2 linked regions of the Lepisosteus oculatus genome follow. The protein of the gene in region 1 purifies or fractionates together with the protein of each later gene. This does not show direct contact. Links are inferred from orthologs where the notes say so. Each region holds a gene or a part of one and is shown on either strand. Other genes may lie near its edges.

Evidence for each region. Proteins that work in one complex are often made in the same cells at the same time.
Region 2: the proteins of haus5 (region 1) and haus2 purify together in Homo sapiens (affinity purification with mass spectrometry; 5 studies listed by BioGRID and IntAct, with this or other methods). This does not show direct contact. The link is inferred for Lepisosteus oculatus from reciprocal best matches to the Homo sapiens genes HAUS5 and HAUS2.

What each region holds. Positions count from the first base shown.
Region 1 is NC_090722.1:11,586,622-11,594,763, reverse strand, and holds the start of haus5 (HAUS augmin-like complex subunit 5), read left to right. Parts: upstream 1-5,023; 5' UTR 5,024-5,111; intron 5,112-5,117; exon of another isoform or gene 5,118-5,524; intron 5,525-5,801; 5' UTR 5,802-5,942; coding exon 5,943-6,040; intron 6,041-6,208; coding exon 6,209-6,271; intron 6,272-6,528; coding exon 6,529-6,561; intron 6,562-7,123; coding exon 7,124-7,148; intron 7,149-7,400; coding exon 7,401-7,533; intron 7,534-8,050; coding exon 8,051-8,142. Other genes in the region: ncam3 (neural cell adhesion molecule 1), read left to right, coding at 52-265, 526-639, 1,566-1,620.
Region 2 is NC_090703.1:12,611,774-12,620,388, reverse strand, and holds the start of haus2 (HAUS augmin-like complex subunit 2), read left to right. Parts: upstream 1-5,043; 5' UTR 5,044-5,138; exon of another isoform or gene 5,139-5,198; intron 5,199-5,578; exon of another isoform or gene 5,579-5,603; 5' UTR 5,604-5,623; coding exon 5,624-5,761; intron 5,762-6,048; coding exon 6,049-6,141; intron 6,142-6,335; coding exon 6,336-6,405; intron 6,406-6,712; coding exon 6,713-6,845; intron 6,846-7,420; coding exon 7,421-7,529; intron 7,530-7,576; exon of another isoform or gene 7,577-7,637; intron 7,638-8,050; exon of another isoform or gene 8,051-8,615. Other genes in the region: lrrc57 (leucine-rich repeat-containing protein 57), read right to left, coding at 912-995.

The DNA.
Region 1 (8,142 bases):
CTGGCTCATTCCTCCCTCCCTCCTCATACCTTTCTTTCCCTCCCTCCGCAGACGCCAGGTCTTCCCCTCAGAAGTCGGGCATGGGGACGGGGGGCATTGTGGGTATTGTCATGGTGATCTTCCTGGTGGTGCTGATTGCCGCAGATGCCACCTGCTTCTACACCAACCGCTGCGGCATGCTGATGTGCATCGCTGTCAACCTGCTGGGGCGCAGGCCCAGAGGCACCAAGGGCCTGGACCCGGAGGAGGCCGAGATCTCCACTGTGTAAGTCCAGTTAGACAGCGTGTGGGACACAGCCAGTCTCCCCTCTGTGTGTCTCTGCTGTACTGTGATCAGTGCTGTGGGACACTCTGTCCCTAACAGCCAGTCTCCTCTCTGTGTGTTTCTGCTGTGCTGTGATCAGTGCTGTGGGACACTCTGTCTCTCTGTGAGCACCAGCAGTTCTCTGCCTGTCTGTGCCACCTGGGGCTGTCCTGTGTGAACCGCCTGCTATGAGCCTCTGCGTCTGTGTCCCTTCTCTTCAGCCGCAGCGAGGTGAAGCTCAAAGGGGTCAGCACCCGGCGGTGCAGCATCCCGAAACCGCAGAGCGGGGCGCAGGCCGAGGTCACGTGCGACAAAGCGCCCCTCACCAAGTTCGAGTAGGTGACCCCCCCCCATTAGGGGGGAAGAGGGTGGACGCAGGACACTGCGCTCCATGAAAAATGGCCGTGGGGTGATGCCAGAGCCCGGTTAAGGGATCACAACCCCAAGGCAGCACCGATTTCCTCAAACATCCAGCCGTGTGAGAAATGAGCAACGTTTCAAGGGCGTGATCTGGGCCGTCTGCTGTTTCCCGCTGTCCTTCCTTGCACGCCCCCTCATCCTCCATTGTTGTTGCTGGTTTGGACCATTTTCCACCACAAATAACTATCCTGCAAAAATTTACAGAACGACACTCACTGGGGCAGAGTGGAGAAAAATGTTAGCAAAGGGATGATCTTTAAGCTGCTTTGTGTCTCCCATACGTATGGGCTTGCAAGGCCTAAAACTGCAGACAGTCTCACACATCCATCTTATGGGGGGTGACCGGGGGAGGAGAATTAGTGTGGCGTAGTCATCTGAAGCCCATTGCTGCTTCAATGCCTGTGCAACACATCCCTCAACATCCGTCCTGGTTAACAATCAGCCTATAGGAGGCGCCCCTGCAGCAGCCCCTGCAGCAGCCCCTGCTGCTGGGCTCAGGACAAGCAAGGACTGACATGAGGGGAACATCAGGAAACAGGGCGGCGTGGTTCTGTCCCAGAGGAGTGCGCTGCTGTGTTTGCACAGCTGGAGTTTGAGCTTGGCGGCCATTTTTCAATACCCACATGGCAATAGATCATTCAACTGTTGCCTCTCACCTTTATTGAGGCAGAAAGTTGCCTGCCATCGGAATTGGGCTATCGGTTTGCTTGTTTTAAGGAAGTTGGGTGCAGAGGACGATACAAGCGCATGCACCTGCCATTAGTAATGTCAGCATGTATTGTGTCGTGTCCCCTGATGAGCACAACATCCTAAAACAGCTTGTTTCTCCTTCCTTTGCTAGGAATTTGCCGCAGAAGAAAGAGCAGTCAAACGCTGCCACCTTCACTGAGGCTTGACGCTGCTGCCCCGCCAGGAGGTGACGCACCTCAAGGGCAGCTGGGATTTGTAGTCTCACAGTGTCCCACAGTTATAGACTACAACGGGCAGACACACCACCTAACAGTGGTAGCCTAAACATCTCTACACGAATGTCCCAGTTATCTCTTGACGGCTATAATGTTCTGGAGAGAACTGGGACATTTCTGCAGAAGCCTATAGGCAATTTCTCAGTTATCTGTGTAAGGTCAAGGTCGTTCCCAAGACTACAGGATCTAAGCAGCTGGGCTATGTTGGGCTTGTAACACCATTACAAATAAACTGATACAGGAATCACTTTAATCCTGACATGTTTTTAAAAATAGTGCTGATGGTCCTTTGATGGACAGCAGTATTGTGCAGCATTGCTCAAGTCCAGTTTTCTTGCACGGCTCTTGACGTTCCCAGATTTCTCCTTGTTCCAATGGGAGTACCTTTGGGAATAAAGTAGGGCTACTAGCCTGGGAACAAATGTATTGTTTAGTTCAATTTTGCTTTCCGTTTCCTCAGAATGGTGTGGGAGAAATTTGATCCGGATGGGAGAGTTCTCCAGTGAAGAAATAGAAATTTTAAATTAAAGTGTGACTGATGTCAGCTGCATTCTTCTACCATTTCCTTTCCCAATTGGCCTGCTAGGGTGAGAGATCCCTGTTAGCCTTTTACCAAGCACACTGGTCACCCCAGGGCCAACTAGTCCCGAAGGCACCTCTGAGGGGAAGGTGCGTAGGGGAAGAGTTTCAGTGTCACACCACAGGTCTGGCCAATGAGTGCGACACTGAATTCCTTCCCTGGGCCTCTCCCTGGTGCTGAGCTTTGAGAAGTCTTTTTTGAGGCAGTTTCTGTTTGTTGTATCCCATTTAAAACAAGAAGGAGCCTGAAAGCAACCAATGACCACAGATGAGCAAAATGGGAGGGTAGATGTTGAAATGCTCTGGCCTTATCAGTCCTAAACAGTATGCAGACTAGGTTTACTTTCTCCATGTAGAGATTTTATTTGAACAAACCAGCACTATCCAGGCACTCCCACATCCCCTGTACAGACAATCCCTCTGTCTCTTTCTCTCTCAGCATCTTTAATTGGATGCCCCAGGAGCCATATTAATACAAACCCCTGTCTCAGAATATGAAAATCAGTGGGGGGCCCTGAGACCCCTTGGACAATTCTGGCAATGGCTCAGCTCCGGGGTCACCCACCCTCGTCACTCCAGGGTGATGTCAGCCTTAACTCTCTCATCTCTCAGAGGAAACAGCAGCCGTGTCAACACAGCCTGTAGATAACATTCCCTTTGTTTAATGAAGGCTGTCCAGGCAGGAGCCCTTAGTCTGTACTCACAGCTGACCCTCGGGACTCACGCAAGCACTTCGTCTTACTGCCTCTATTTATTGGGTGAAAATTGTGTAAGCGCAGCTCCTTTTATAAGCTATGGAAACTTTTATGTGTACTATATTTATTGATGTATATGTTTATAAACGTAGCATATCTTCTTGCTGATAACGCAAGGAATTACCATTCATGCTGGTAGTTCACTGCTTGCCGTAGACTTCCTGTTTTATTTCTGACGTTTCCTGCGATTCCGCAGAAGTGTCTGTTATGTCTGTGTATCAGGGCAGTCAGGAGACACCAGGTCTGAGTGGTTGTGCTGCAGCAGAGTGCTCTTCTATTCCCCTGTGAACATGTGTCACTCCGAACTCATTAAAACCCTCCATTAACACAACTATTAACCCTTCCAACACCCCAGCTGACCCACACTGCACTCTTAGCAGTCCAGGTGAAGTCCCCGCTGGCCGATGAGAAGGAACTGGGGTGGGACTGATATCTGCGTGACACAGGCATCCGAATCCCATCAGCAAAACCTGTGTGACGCTCAGATGTGTCCCCCACCTCCCTGTGCAGGCATTTCTGAAATTTGTTATTCATTAAACACTCGACAGCTCTTTGGTCTTTGAGCGTTTCAGTCTCTTCCTCCTCAGCACAGAATTCAGTTCTTTGATCCAGAGGATTTTGGAAAGTGTGTCAGACCTTCTCCATGCTTGAAGTCTGAATGAATGATTCAATCACCCCTATACATTTTCAGTAGAACAGTCTGACATTTGCCGGCTCTCGTATTGTATTGGAGCCTGATCCCTCACTATGTTTGTGAGGGATCAGGCCGTTTCTTTATCAGAATTTCAACCGCAGTGACATTTCACCACCTCCTGTTCACTGTACTTGTAACCAAACGATCTCTCCTTGTATTTTGTACAAATAAGACTGTTTTTGGACTTTACCTATTTTGTATCATGCACTGTACATTGTGTGTATATACACTGTTATTACATGCATTGTTTTGTAAAATAAAATATCTCAAAATTGAAACAAACAGCATTGTCTCAGTTTGCTCAGTTCCAGACCGCAGGTCCAGACTTTCCTGCTCGAGGCCAGAGCAGCTGATAGATTTCCTCCCTACCTGAAGGAACACGGTTTCATCAGGAATGAGCAGAGCTTCACTCACACTCACAGAATTGTCATCAGTAAAATCACCTGCTTTTGGGTGTTAATGCGTGAGCTCCATTCATCAATTAACAGCCCCCACTCCTCCAGTGAAAACCCTGAGGGGTACAATTGTTCAATTTCCAATCACAAACCTGGCGTAACTGGAACAGTGGCAGGAGACCTAGTCGTGATTCGCACCAGTGGTTGCAAGAAATGCTGAGAATGTTAAGCAGCTACTCTGTAGGGTCTATTTGTTAAATGGGTTATCTGTGTCTTTTAAACACAACGTTTTGTTCAGATGGAAGATAACATGTTTTTGAAGAGAAGAATGTTTAATTTTGTTTGACATTTCTGCTGTTTGCCCAGTTGGGCAAAGGTTTTGCCATTTGTGTTTATAGTTTTGAGTATAGGGAGTGTAGTCTCAAACAATGTGTAAACGATTGTGAAACACTCTTAAAAAGACAAGAAAAAAATCATTGATCGACGTCACCATCTGCAGTACTGCTCACTTCTTGAGGAGGCTCAGGTCCTTCAATGTGTGTAGTAAGATGCTACATATGTTCTATCAGTCGGTGGTAGCGAGTGCCATTTTCTACGAAGTGGTGTGCTGGGGCTCTGGGATTAGAGCAGTGGATTCCAACAGGCTGAACAAGCTCATCAGGAGATGTGTGTCCAGACTGTGAGTAACTCTTTTAGTGCACCCTCACTGTACTGATTGTATTGTATGTATTGTACTATTATTATTATTGTATCATTCGTTACACTGTGGCTGTGTTGTCTGTGTTAAGCTGCTGTTGCACTGCAATTTCCCTCACGGGATCAATAAAGTATCTATCAAAGAAAACTACAGTTCCCAAGACGCCCTGCATGCGTGACGTCAACGGAAAAGCCTCTGATCAAGAGACGCGGTGGCGGCGGGAAGTAGGAAATGTTTCCGAGGTTCAAAATAAGATGCTGCCGTTTGTTTGACCGGGTTGAGCGAAACTAGGATAAAAAAAGGTATCAGGCGGTTTATTTATTTAATCGTGTTGTAAAACCGTTTCTGAGTGACTATTATAATGAAAACTATAACTGTAATAAAAACTATTGCTTGCATTTGTCAAGTTTTTACAAATACGTTTCACCCGTGTCTCCTCAGTTAGCGGTAGACAGCAGACAGAATGGGCAGCAGTGATATTTCGACACTATGTTTTTCCTGCATATCAGTAAAAGGGGCTTCACGCTGTGTCTCTCGGCTCACGGAGACGAGCGGAAGGTGAAGTTAGTAGCTGAGTGTCGTGTCTGACTGCGCGGAGGGAGGTCAGAGGCCCCTGTGCTCGTTTCCCTTCGCTCACCGAGAGCCGAGCCTGACCGGCCGTGTCGTGAATTCACAGCCGCGGGGGACGGGACACTGGAAGACGCGCATTTAAACGGTGAAACTCCTGCAACGCCTAACACCGTCAGACTCGCATTGCGCGGCAGTGGTGCCGGTGTTGGTCTGTTTATGTGCACTGCAGTCTGACCGCTGGGGTCAGTCAGACTCCCGGTGCACAGCAGTCTGGTCCACTCCGGGTTTTGCATTGTGGCCACACTTTCATCGCACAGCTGGGGACAGGCTGCTGTGTGGGGTGTCTGACTGGAGACCCTGCAGAAACCATCTTATCCACGCTGTGGGCAGTCATTGACTAATATTCACTCCTCGTCCCGCAGTTGCCTATAAAACCTGGTGGATTGCAGCCCATCCAGGATCAGGAGTGAATCCCTGTGTTTGTGCTGCTGCCTGACAGCCAGCCCTTCTCACCCGAGGCTGGGAAACTGGAGTGGACCCAGTTCACGCCTGGATTTGACAGGATGGGAGACAAGGATCTGCCACAGGTGCTGAAGCGCTGGATTGTGGAGGAGCTGGAGCTGCCGGCCCGTGACCTGCCTCCGGACAGCTACTTCAGGACGTGAGTGAGGCTCCTGCCCAGTGCAGTGGCTCTGTGATTCGCTCCGGGTTTTACAGTGCAGTATAAGCAAGATTGTAGAATAAGAGTGATGTCTTCCTGACACCACACACGCTGCACTTATTTTTTATGTTGTTTTGTTTTTTGCTTATTTTTATTTCTCTGTTTCAGGTTGTGTCTGGGTCAGGGTGCTGACATCTGGAAATACATCACTCGGCACGTTTACAATGAGGGGTGAGTGGGCTCACTGACACGCTCTTGCAACCTGCCTGCCTGTTGGAGCTACATCTCTCCTCCAGTGGATGGAGACTCTGCTGTGGTCCTACAGTGCTGTCAGTGAGAGCTGTGTCTCTCCTCCAGTGGATGGAGACTCTGCTGTGGTCCTGCAGTGCTGTCAGTGAGAGCTATGGCTCTCCTCCAGGGGATGGAGACTCTGCTGTGGTCCTGCAGTGCTGTAGTCCAGCTTACAGGATTTCTGTTTTTGTTCGCAGGAATGTGAGAATCATGCGAGGAAACCTGCAGTGGTATCCTTTATTAAACCTCCTGGTGCCATAATCTGTAGTGACTGACCTGAAGCTCTCGCTCATTTGGAATTCTGTAAAGCTGTTTAAACTAGAGTAAAGCAGAACAGCCTGAGGAAGAGTGAGTAGGAATTTACATGCTCGGCACCCTGAGCATTTCTGTCGCAGTCATTGTGGTGTTGGTAAAGATTGATTGTAAGAAGGGGGGATCTAGTTTTAAAGTCTCATCTGAAATGTGACCCCTCACCCAGGCAGAAGATAAGCCACATGTCGCCTTGCCTTCTAACCCAGTTCAGCCGTGAGACAGTCTGCCTCCTGGGCTTGTGCTGGTTTCATGAGATCTGTGTTGCTTCCACTCTGCTCAGACAGGTCCGTGCTGCTGTGGTCACAAGTCTTGTTGAGAGAGGAGGGCTTAGGCTGGGTCAGTCTTTCCAGACAGCTGCCTCGACTGGGGAGGCCCCATCGTGTTCATCAGGGTTTAGGGTTCGGGCTGCGCTGAGAAAGGCTTTGCTATTGTCTTGTGTTTGAACGGGAGATGTCAGATTCCTTGACGGAGCACTTTCAGCTACAAAGTCATGCAGGATTCGGAGGTAAATTGGAACTTTTTGATTGTTATAGACTCAGATCTTAAGAGTTGGGCTGAACGGCTTGATGCAAGTTCTTCTTTTTTTTTTTTTAAAGAAACCCAGTGTAAAGTTGCTCTCTCAAAGCCATGTGTGAGCAGTGATGGTCGCGGCAAGGGCACCCTTCTGTCTTTGACCTTTGACCCTCACCCTTCTCCCTGTGCTCAGTGGCGGGGGAGGCGCGTGGGGCTGTAGATTCTCACTCCCGCGGGTTGGCAGGTGCGGCGCGGCGAGGGCCAGAGTGAGGCGGCGCGGCGCCGGGCGCTGACCCGGGAGATCGAGGAGCTGCGGGCAGAGCTGGTGGAGCTGGACGCCCAGATCGAGCAGTCGCAGGCGGAGCTGTGCAGTGACGGTGAGGCCTGCGGGCACGGCAGGGGCCAGCAGGGGAGGGGGGGTTGATATCCCTCCAGAGAATCAGCTGTGTGTCGACCGTGTGTGCAGTTTAAATCTCGAGGAGCTAAAAAATGAACAATCAAACTTCAAAAGCAAAGACTTCTGAGTCCCAAAATTCGTGGGAGAAATGTGCGATTTAATTTCCTTATGGATGATCTTATAATAGTTATTTTCGATTGTTGCAGTAATTAGTGAAGATGTTTCTAGGCAAATATTTTTCCAATTTATTATTAAGAACATGAGAATTGTCATGAATGTTATCAGCTGTTTGGTTAATTTTAATGAATATTGTGTTGAGGGCTGGTCACAGAAAGACTCTCCAGCTTTAGCCAGATGTCAGAGAAGAGCGACAAAAATGTTTCGTGGTGTTTGGGAGGGGTCTGGTCATATATTCCTCGCCTGGTGGTCGAGACACCACCTTTGGGCATCTTGTGGAAATTCGTCTCCAGTTCCCTCGCTCTCCCTGCTGTCCTCAGACAGGGCTGTGGGTCAGTGCTGGGACCACTGCTCGGAGGCCAGGCGCAGGAGGGTCCTGCTCCAGGCGATGGGAGTGCGCTGTGCCCAGGAG
Region 2 (8,615 bases), on another chromosome or scaffold:
CTGCTAAGCACAATACTGCGGAGAGTGCTGTTGCTACTGGAGACTACTCCAGCTGAAATCTTACAGTACGCGTTTACTCTGCCCAGCATTGCATGAGACTTGCCAAAAAGACACAGAGCACTCTGCAGCAGAAGAGATTGAGTGAAAACTCCAAAGTACAAAGCATGCAGGGATAAAAGAGAGCAAACAGACCTAAAATGGACATTGAGACCTTTAAAAATCTGCAATAAGAAGACTATCTGCAATATCAAAATGCTTTAACCATTATGCAGTTTGTCTATCAAAAAACACACATTGCAATTAATTCAGTATTTTACATGTAAGCTCATTTTCGTCTACAGAATGTCAGCATTATCGTAAGAGTTCGGGTATATTTTCAGCAAAGGGTTTAAGAAACTGAATGACACAACTCAGAAGAATATGGGAACACTGAAGGTCTCTAGAAAAGAACTACATTATATAAACTGGGCAACAAACCAAACCCTCATTTTCAATCCCTGTAAAAAACAAAAAGTAGCCGAGTTGCTCCAGACAGGGTAGATTAATGAAAAAGGACCCCTCCACCTGCTCCTCATTGAAAGGGCTACTCAGCACAGCCAATGTCTACCAACTTGTCTTTGGAAGGAGGGAGAAAACCAGTTTGTAAAGAAAAAAATGTCACGGGGAGACCATGCAATTTCCACACAGAAGGTGCTTCTGTCCTGACTCGGACCCATGACACTGCAGCTGAAAGACAGCAGCACAAACTGGCAGAACCACTTTGACTGTAAGCCTCTGAAAATAATAGCAAATAGGACAACAGACTAGATCCCACCATAAGGAAACCACATAAGCAGTTGTCACAATGTAGGAGAATTTGCCAGGGAGTATTATTCGAAGAAAGACAGACAGGGCAGCCCGCTATCTCGCACCTCGGGCAGGCCCTTGCCGGTGAGCTGAAACACCCCAGTCTTTTGGGACGTCTCAATGTGAGCCTTGAGAGCACTGTTCCCCATCCCTGCTCCCCGCTGCTGGGCTTCGCTTTTCAATCGCCTCCACGGATCCCAGGCAGAAAGTACTCCGCCTCCACTCCTCAATGCACAGGGCCCAGTTTCCCACTCGCTTCCCGCTATACACAGCCTCCGCGAAAATCCGTTCCCTGTTGTTTTTTTACAGTTCCAGTCTGTACGGGGAAAGAGCATGGAGCAAGATGAATTATACATGAATTCCTTTTCTTAATCGAAATAACTACAGTTATGTTGTTGTACCACCTACAGTTTTTTTCCTTTCGCCTGATTCATTCGGACTGTGCAATGGTATTGTTTTCCCGTACAAAAACAAAAAAAATCACTACCAATCTCACTTGAAAGAATAGCCCAATGTAACATGAAAGCGTTAAAATGACTGTTTTTCTTTAAAGTGTTATAACATGGGACGTTTTTAATAATAATACTTTATTAAACATGTCGGTTTATTAGGATGGCGTGAAAAAAATAATAAAAAAGAAACAGACGAACGCCCTTGATCCTGATAGAAACATTTTAAAATACTGTTAGGTGCAAGTTTCAATCAGGCTACAAAGCAATGTAGTTTGATACGACTTACATTAAATAACAACATGCCAAGGAAGGCGCCAGAGTCACGTTATTGCAAACTTAGCACAAAACAATATTTTCTGAAATACGCAGAAATATACGTCTAAATTACAACAGATAATATTGTACTCTCAAACAGATCGCGCTACAATGATTTTAGCTGTGTAACAAAAACACAAAATAAATATGTTGATTATTTTCAATTGTTTTTAAACATTAACGAAGCAAAACAAAACGATTGTTGTTACCTGATTCCCAAAGCTTATTTTCGGTGCGTTAAGATGATTGCTCTATTTACAACAACACGGGCTCACATGAACTGAGAACAGAAGCCGCTAAATAAGATTTTGTTTTTAATCTCCCGGAAACAGAAAAGACAAACTTGCTGACGAAAGGAAATGGGCTAGCCCACCGAGCAGCCATGTTACCAATGGCAACAAAACAGCCTTAAGCTCTAAAACTTTTTATATCTTGACATGTATTTTAAAAAGTTCAAGGTATATTGCACTTTTGAAAAAACAAATAAACACTTGGTCTGGATCATATGTTAATTATAAAATTTTGGTATATATGGAAGAACACTACGTTGCTAGACTAGGGATTAATTTGTTTCGTGACTATTTGAAGAAGGGATCACATGAAATTCTGCTTCTCTTTAAAAAACGTAGAAAAAATGACTAATTTGATATTCGCTATTTTGATAATCTCACCTGAAGTTAGTACTTTAATCTGAACATTATATTTTAATTAAGACATAATTATGATTAGTCTATACAATGCACAGTTTGAAGGGCCAAAGAGATGCCCTTTCTATTCTGTTACCGAAGTTCACCTTGAGCTCCATGAAGATGGCCCCCCTACAGACTGCACAAACGATTAAACCCACCTCATTCGTTAGTGCTACTTTTGTGCCGGTTTGTGCCGTTGAAATTAGCGTTTGTGCTTCTTTCGTTCCCGAGATATAGCGCCTTAGTTTCCCGGTGATCACGTGAACATGCACGGTGACTTTGACCTCCAGTGACCCCGTCTGCCGAGTTCAAGCGCTCAGTTATAGTTTAGCTCGTAACCTTAACATTTTAAAGACAACATCCATAAACTATGAGCCTCCTTAGATGTGAATAATACTAAGACTTGACGCATGCCAACAAATTAACATCTGTGACATAAACCTGTGGTTCTAATGTATGTAAAATAATCGTGATTGTAAGATCCATGGTTTTTATTTTCTATGGCACGTTTTCCTTTGCTTTCCCTACCCTGACATGCTGTTGCCAAACGCGTAATTGTGGGATACCATTGCGACAAGAGCTCCGCAGCATGTCATGATTGGGACCCCATGTATATCGCGGCAGTGTATATCACGACTGGCGCCTTGGTTCCATGCCACCCTGGAACTGCTGTCGCAACAAAGGTCTCATATCAGGACATGATATACCCAGATAGGACGTGCCGTGATACATGGACTTTGTGTCGCAACATGGGGTCAGCATATCCTGTCCAGGGTATGTTCTATGGCAACATATGGATTCCATGTCACGACATGGGGGCAGGGCATTTTGTCGGTGTATGTCATATTGCGATATACGGGCTTCATGTCGCGACATGGAGGCGGGGCGCTTCTGCCGGGGTATGTCGTATCGCGATATGGGGTCTTCATGTCGCGACCTGGGGGCAGGGCATTTTGGCTGGGTAGGTCATATCGCGATATGCGGGTTTCATGTCGCGACATGGGGGCGGGGCGCTTCTGCCGGGGTATCTCATATCGCGACATGGGGGCTTCATGTCGCGACATGGGGGCGGGGCACTTTTGCCGGGGTATGTCATATCGCGATATGCGGGCTCCATGTCGGGACATGGGGGCGGGGGCATTTTGTCGTGTATGTCATATCGCGATATATGGACTTAATGTCGCAACAGTGGCGCCTTGACAGTGATCCGCCAGTCAAAATGGGTATCGCGATGTGTCCGATGTGCGCGTACTCCTATCGTGACATGCTGTCGGAATCGTGAACGTGCTGTGGATGCCATGGCATTCTTTGTCTGCTATTCAGTTTTGACCTCAGTGCGACTTCTCTAAGCTTGATCAGAAATTGGAAACCATTGGATGTATTTCTGTATATCCAGCGTGCTCATACAGCACACACGGTATACACAGAACTTCCGCTGTGGCGCTTTACCCAATCAGAGTGTCGATTCTCAATCTTCACCCAATCGTGGCCCGAGCTGTTCGGGGGTTTAGCCAATCACGGGTCTGAGAGCTGTTCAAGCTAGCAGCGCCGGGTGGATCGGCTTGTTTTTTGTTAATGAGAAGCTATTTTTAAAATGCTTTACTTATTTGCAAAATAACTACACGTCTTATTTTTTTAACGTCTTTATTGATTCACAATGTCCCGTACTCTTCGAAATAAATACATTTTTTATTTGCAATATAACTGTCTCCGCTGCTTTCTGTAATGAATACATGGTATTTGAACAATTTTAATTTGTATATTTAAGGTAGGGGAAACACCTTCTACTATGTACGTAAAAATGAATAGAAATGTAAAGTCTGTGATCATTATATTATTATGCTAGTGCTTTCAATTTTGTTTTTATTGTTAAATTATTTCGATCTTGAAACTAATACATAAAAATGTGAATATGGGCTCTCGTGTTGTACCAGCGGTAATTTGGAAACTGGTGTCTCTTCACCACTAATGAAAGGAGTGCACAAGCAATACATTTTCGAGAACATGGTTAAAAATTAAAAGAAACACCTTACCCAATGAGCTAACATAGCAACTCCTCCCTAAATGTAAGACTGTTTATTCGTGTAAAGGCTGCAAAGTCTGGGGTCAACTGGTCAAAAGAGCGCAACTGAAAGATCTGGTAGTCGTGACTTAAATGTTTTTACGTCACAGAGTGACGTCAAAGGCAGGAAAAGAAGGCGCTATATTGAAATATACTGAAACATCCACCCAACCCGAAAAGACGGACTCGGAAAACAAATTGCCCGCATTGTTTTAATCACAATCAGGAGTTCAAGTACCCAGTTTGTTGGTACCCGTAAATGTCCTTGTAAATAGTCACGTGATTACCCGAAAAAACAAGGCGCTACATCTCTGAAACGAAAGCAGCACAGACGCTACTTACAGCGACACAAACCGGCACAAACGCAGCACTAACGAATGAAGTGGGTTTAATCGTTTGTGCTGTCTTTAGGGGGGGGGGGGGCAACTTCACGGAACTTTTACCTTGAACCCTCAAACAAGACTGGCACTGACAACATGGCAAAATGTTGTTCACGTTCGTGCTATTATGTTATTATTTAAGAAACTGAAAAATATCAGCCGCAGTAAACCTCATCTTTATTTTGCAACTAATTCTGCAATAAAATAAGTGATTTGACATTAAAATTGTGCAAATGTCTTGTATTATTATGTTAGGCGAGGAAACAAATTTGACAAATTACCAAATCGCTTTTAAAATACGTCATCAGTGTGCGCAGAAAAGAGGCGGGTGCGGGATTGTTTAAAATAGAATGGCAGTGATGGGACTGCAGAGGGAAAATAAGATCACACTTAGGTGAGATTATTGTTATGTTGTATTATAACACGGATCCTTCCTGTTCTCAAACACGCTAAGGTGATATATTCTTCTAGCGAACCTACCAGCGGCGAAATATGAGTCTTGTTATATTTAAAGTTTTAAATGGGGATTAAGAAAATGTATTGTCTCCTTCAAGCTGAATCAAAAAGAACTGCACTCGAAAATGTCAGTAATTGTGTGTTCGACGGCTTTCAGATTTTTGCAGATGTTTATTCGAATTTATTTAAATGATTTTGTTTAATTCCATTAGATTTTTAACGGTTTTGGGTTGCATAAAAAAAACTGTAAACATAACCACTACCGGTACATGTTTTGTACTTACAGTAAGCTACGGGTTAGAAGTAAGTGCAACGTCTGAAATGTATCTTATTTGTCTTGCATTTTCCTGTTTCATCACCAACACCCAACACCAACAGTGCCTTTGTCGTCTTTACCGATCAGTGCTTGTTATTCAGTGCCGAATGATACCGATGATGATTTCAGTTGATGAGTGGCGCGTCCCTGCCCTGGAGATGAATCCCTGGGTGCCGGCGCCCTATGCCGTGACCCCTGCAGCCCAGGTGCTGGCCAGATGTGTGGCTTCCGGAGCGCTGTCTGAGGTGAGGGTAGAGCACGCTTTCAACTGAGCCACCGGACGTTACTCAAACGAATCAATCTGAAGTGTACACGGGTTTTCAGCATGTATCCAGCTGTATTTTCTAGGTTCAGTCCACTTCACGTTTTTAAATGATACGTATCATGTTCTTCCCCTGAGACATGGTATTTGACAAAAATGCTTCACTTTTCCTCGGGGTTCCTTTTCCTTCTGTTTTATGCTTGTGGTGTGAACTGAAGTATAATGCACATGGTAATGAGATGCTTACTCGGCTTCCTTGCCGTGTTGCAGGACGTGGATGGCATCCCCAGAGACATAACTGTCTTCTCTCCTCAACTCCTTGAAGCTGAACAAGTTGCAGCATTGAGGCACGACATTAACGAGGTAACCTCTGACCTCCGCAGACGCTACCTGTTTTCTCACTTCTCTGAAAAAGTATCCTTTCTGTTTTCCTTGCACCTGAATCATTGAATGTTTTCAATCCGTTTTGGAAAGGGCGGGTTCCCTTCGCGTTGCTCAAGCTGTTGCGCCTGTACTTCACAGAATGCTTCTCATTGTGCGTTTTTTCTTGCTTTCAGAAAAGCCTGGAAGTGGAACTCTTACAGCTAGAAAAAGAGGGAGCTGAGGTCACCCACAGCTTTTATCTCTGTAGGTGGTACATGTCCAACTTGGTAGCAATACAGTCTCCTCCAGGAGAGTTGCTTGAATATACTTTTCTGGCTTCTAATAGAGATTTACGAGATGTTAATGCTCAAAATGTTCACTTCACTTACTTTAAAGTAATATGAAGAATGTATTAAGCTAAATGCTTCACTTTTTTGGTCTTTGTAATATTAAATTAACTCCTGCAGTGGTTACATTGACATTTTTAAGAAGAGCTGGGACTTGAGTTCTTGTCTCGGTGCTGCCTGTTTTAAAATGATATGGACAGTGATGGAAGTTATTGTTTCTCCAGCCAAGAAGTTTGAAGCCCTGCAGCAGTTCACCTCCCATTTGCAGGAAGTATTGCATGAACGTAGGAGTCTTTGGCAAAGGCTGATGAAACCACATTGCCAGCAGAATCTGCCCGTTGAGGCCAACCTGCACAGGCAAGTATAGAGGCAGCCCTTCAGTGTTTAAGACAAACTGCAATTTAACAGTTTTCTTCCAGGAATGATATCTTGACAAGTCTGTAACGCAACAACCTGGTAGAAGATTATTCGTTGATACTGATGTCAATGGGATGTCAAAAAGAGGAAAGGGGCCCCAGGGTCTTCCCTTAATTATGATGGCCACCTCTCTTGCTTCACTTGGAACAGCAATAAGAGGGGAACCTTCACCCCCTGCAGGAAAGCAAACAAGCTGCCAAGCCAGAAGAATCCTCATGGGGGTACATGTTTCTGTCAAGGAACAGGTAAGGGTTTATTCCTTGCTGAAAGCAAAAGAAAAGAGACTTACCATTTTGGCTGTGGAGCTTTCTTTTTCTTTCAGCATGGAATAACTCTTTACCTGCTCCTTTGCAGGCTATGCATGCCCACGCAGCTGCCTACATGAATGTGTTTCTGTCAAGCCCACCTCAGCCGCCCCGGCGGGTGGGTACAGGCGTTTCCATTGAATCCGTGTGGTGAAATGTGCAGTCAGACTTCCCAAAATAGCGCCTATATTACAATCTTCCCCGCTGCAGGTATGTGGTGCAGCTCGTAAGTATGGCCGCAGACTTCATCAAGAACCTGGAGAGCAGGGTGCAGACAACGCGCTCCATTCCTGACATTGGCCAGTCCATGGCCAGCCTGGTATGTGCATTCAGTTATCTCAAGCGGCTATAGCAGGGGTGGGCACCCCTGGTCCTGGAGGGGCCAGTGCGTCTGCCAGTTTTCTAGGTTTCTTCAAAGCACCAGCTCCTAAAACAATGGGAGAAGCTTTTACATTGGTCCTATTAAACCAGAACTGAGCTGATTGAGCTTGTTAAGAGCATGGTTTGAATGAAAACCTGCAGACATGCCAGCACTCCAGAACCAGGACTATCCCTGGGCCATAATCTGAGCCTAATTTATTTCTTAGGAATACCAAGCCAACAAAATAATATTGAAGGCCAGTTTCTCTGACAGGCCTTTTTTACAACCTGTAACAAACAGCTGTTCCAAAAACTGCATCTTAGTAGCCAGTTCCTCCTGCTGGCTAAATTGGCAAATTACCGCATCCTACAGTTAAGAGCAAAACTTCTCCCTACATCTGTTACTCAAAGTTCCTTAGGCATACAACCGCATGAAATGCTCTTTGGATACTGAATATATTGATCAAAATAAGACATCAGTGTGTTAAATATGTTTGTATTCTAAAATAACAAGTATCACCATCAGGAATTCATTTATAGCTGCAGCATTGCAAAAGTGAAGACAAAAATCCAAAGGGGAGTGAAAAGCATAACAGCTAGGGCCCTGCTAAGTTTGTGATTTCATATAGCTGGTGTGAAGGGAGCGTACTGGCACACTGTACGCTTTGAGTGGATTGTCCAGGAAAGAGCTATATAAACTAAGGAATTATTATTATTAAATATTTTGCAATGTACATTTCTTATTGTAAAATGCATGATGCAACTTGAGCAAACAGTAACTCTGCATGATATAGAATCTCTGTGCTTGATGTTCACCTGTCGATGCATGATGTCAGATGATGGGATTTGCAATGTTTGTTTTTCCTGACTTCTCTCTGGAACCCCAAATTGACAAAATATCCATGCATTTTGATCACTCAGAATCTTGGATGTGGTACCTTGTATTCTACATTTAGTGAGACAACCAATCTTTTGGAAAGCAGGACAAAACTAAGCATATTTAACTATACTCCACTTTTCTCTTTTCTGCAAAGACACATTAGGA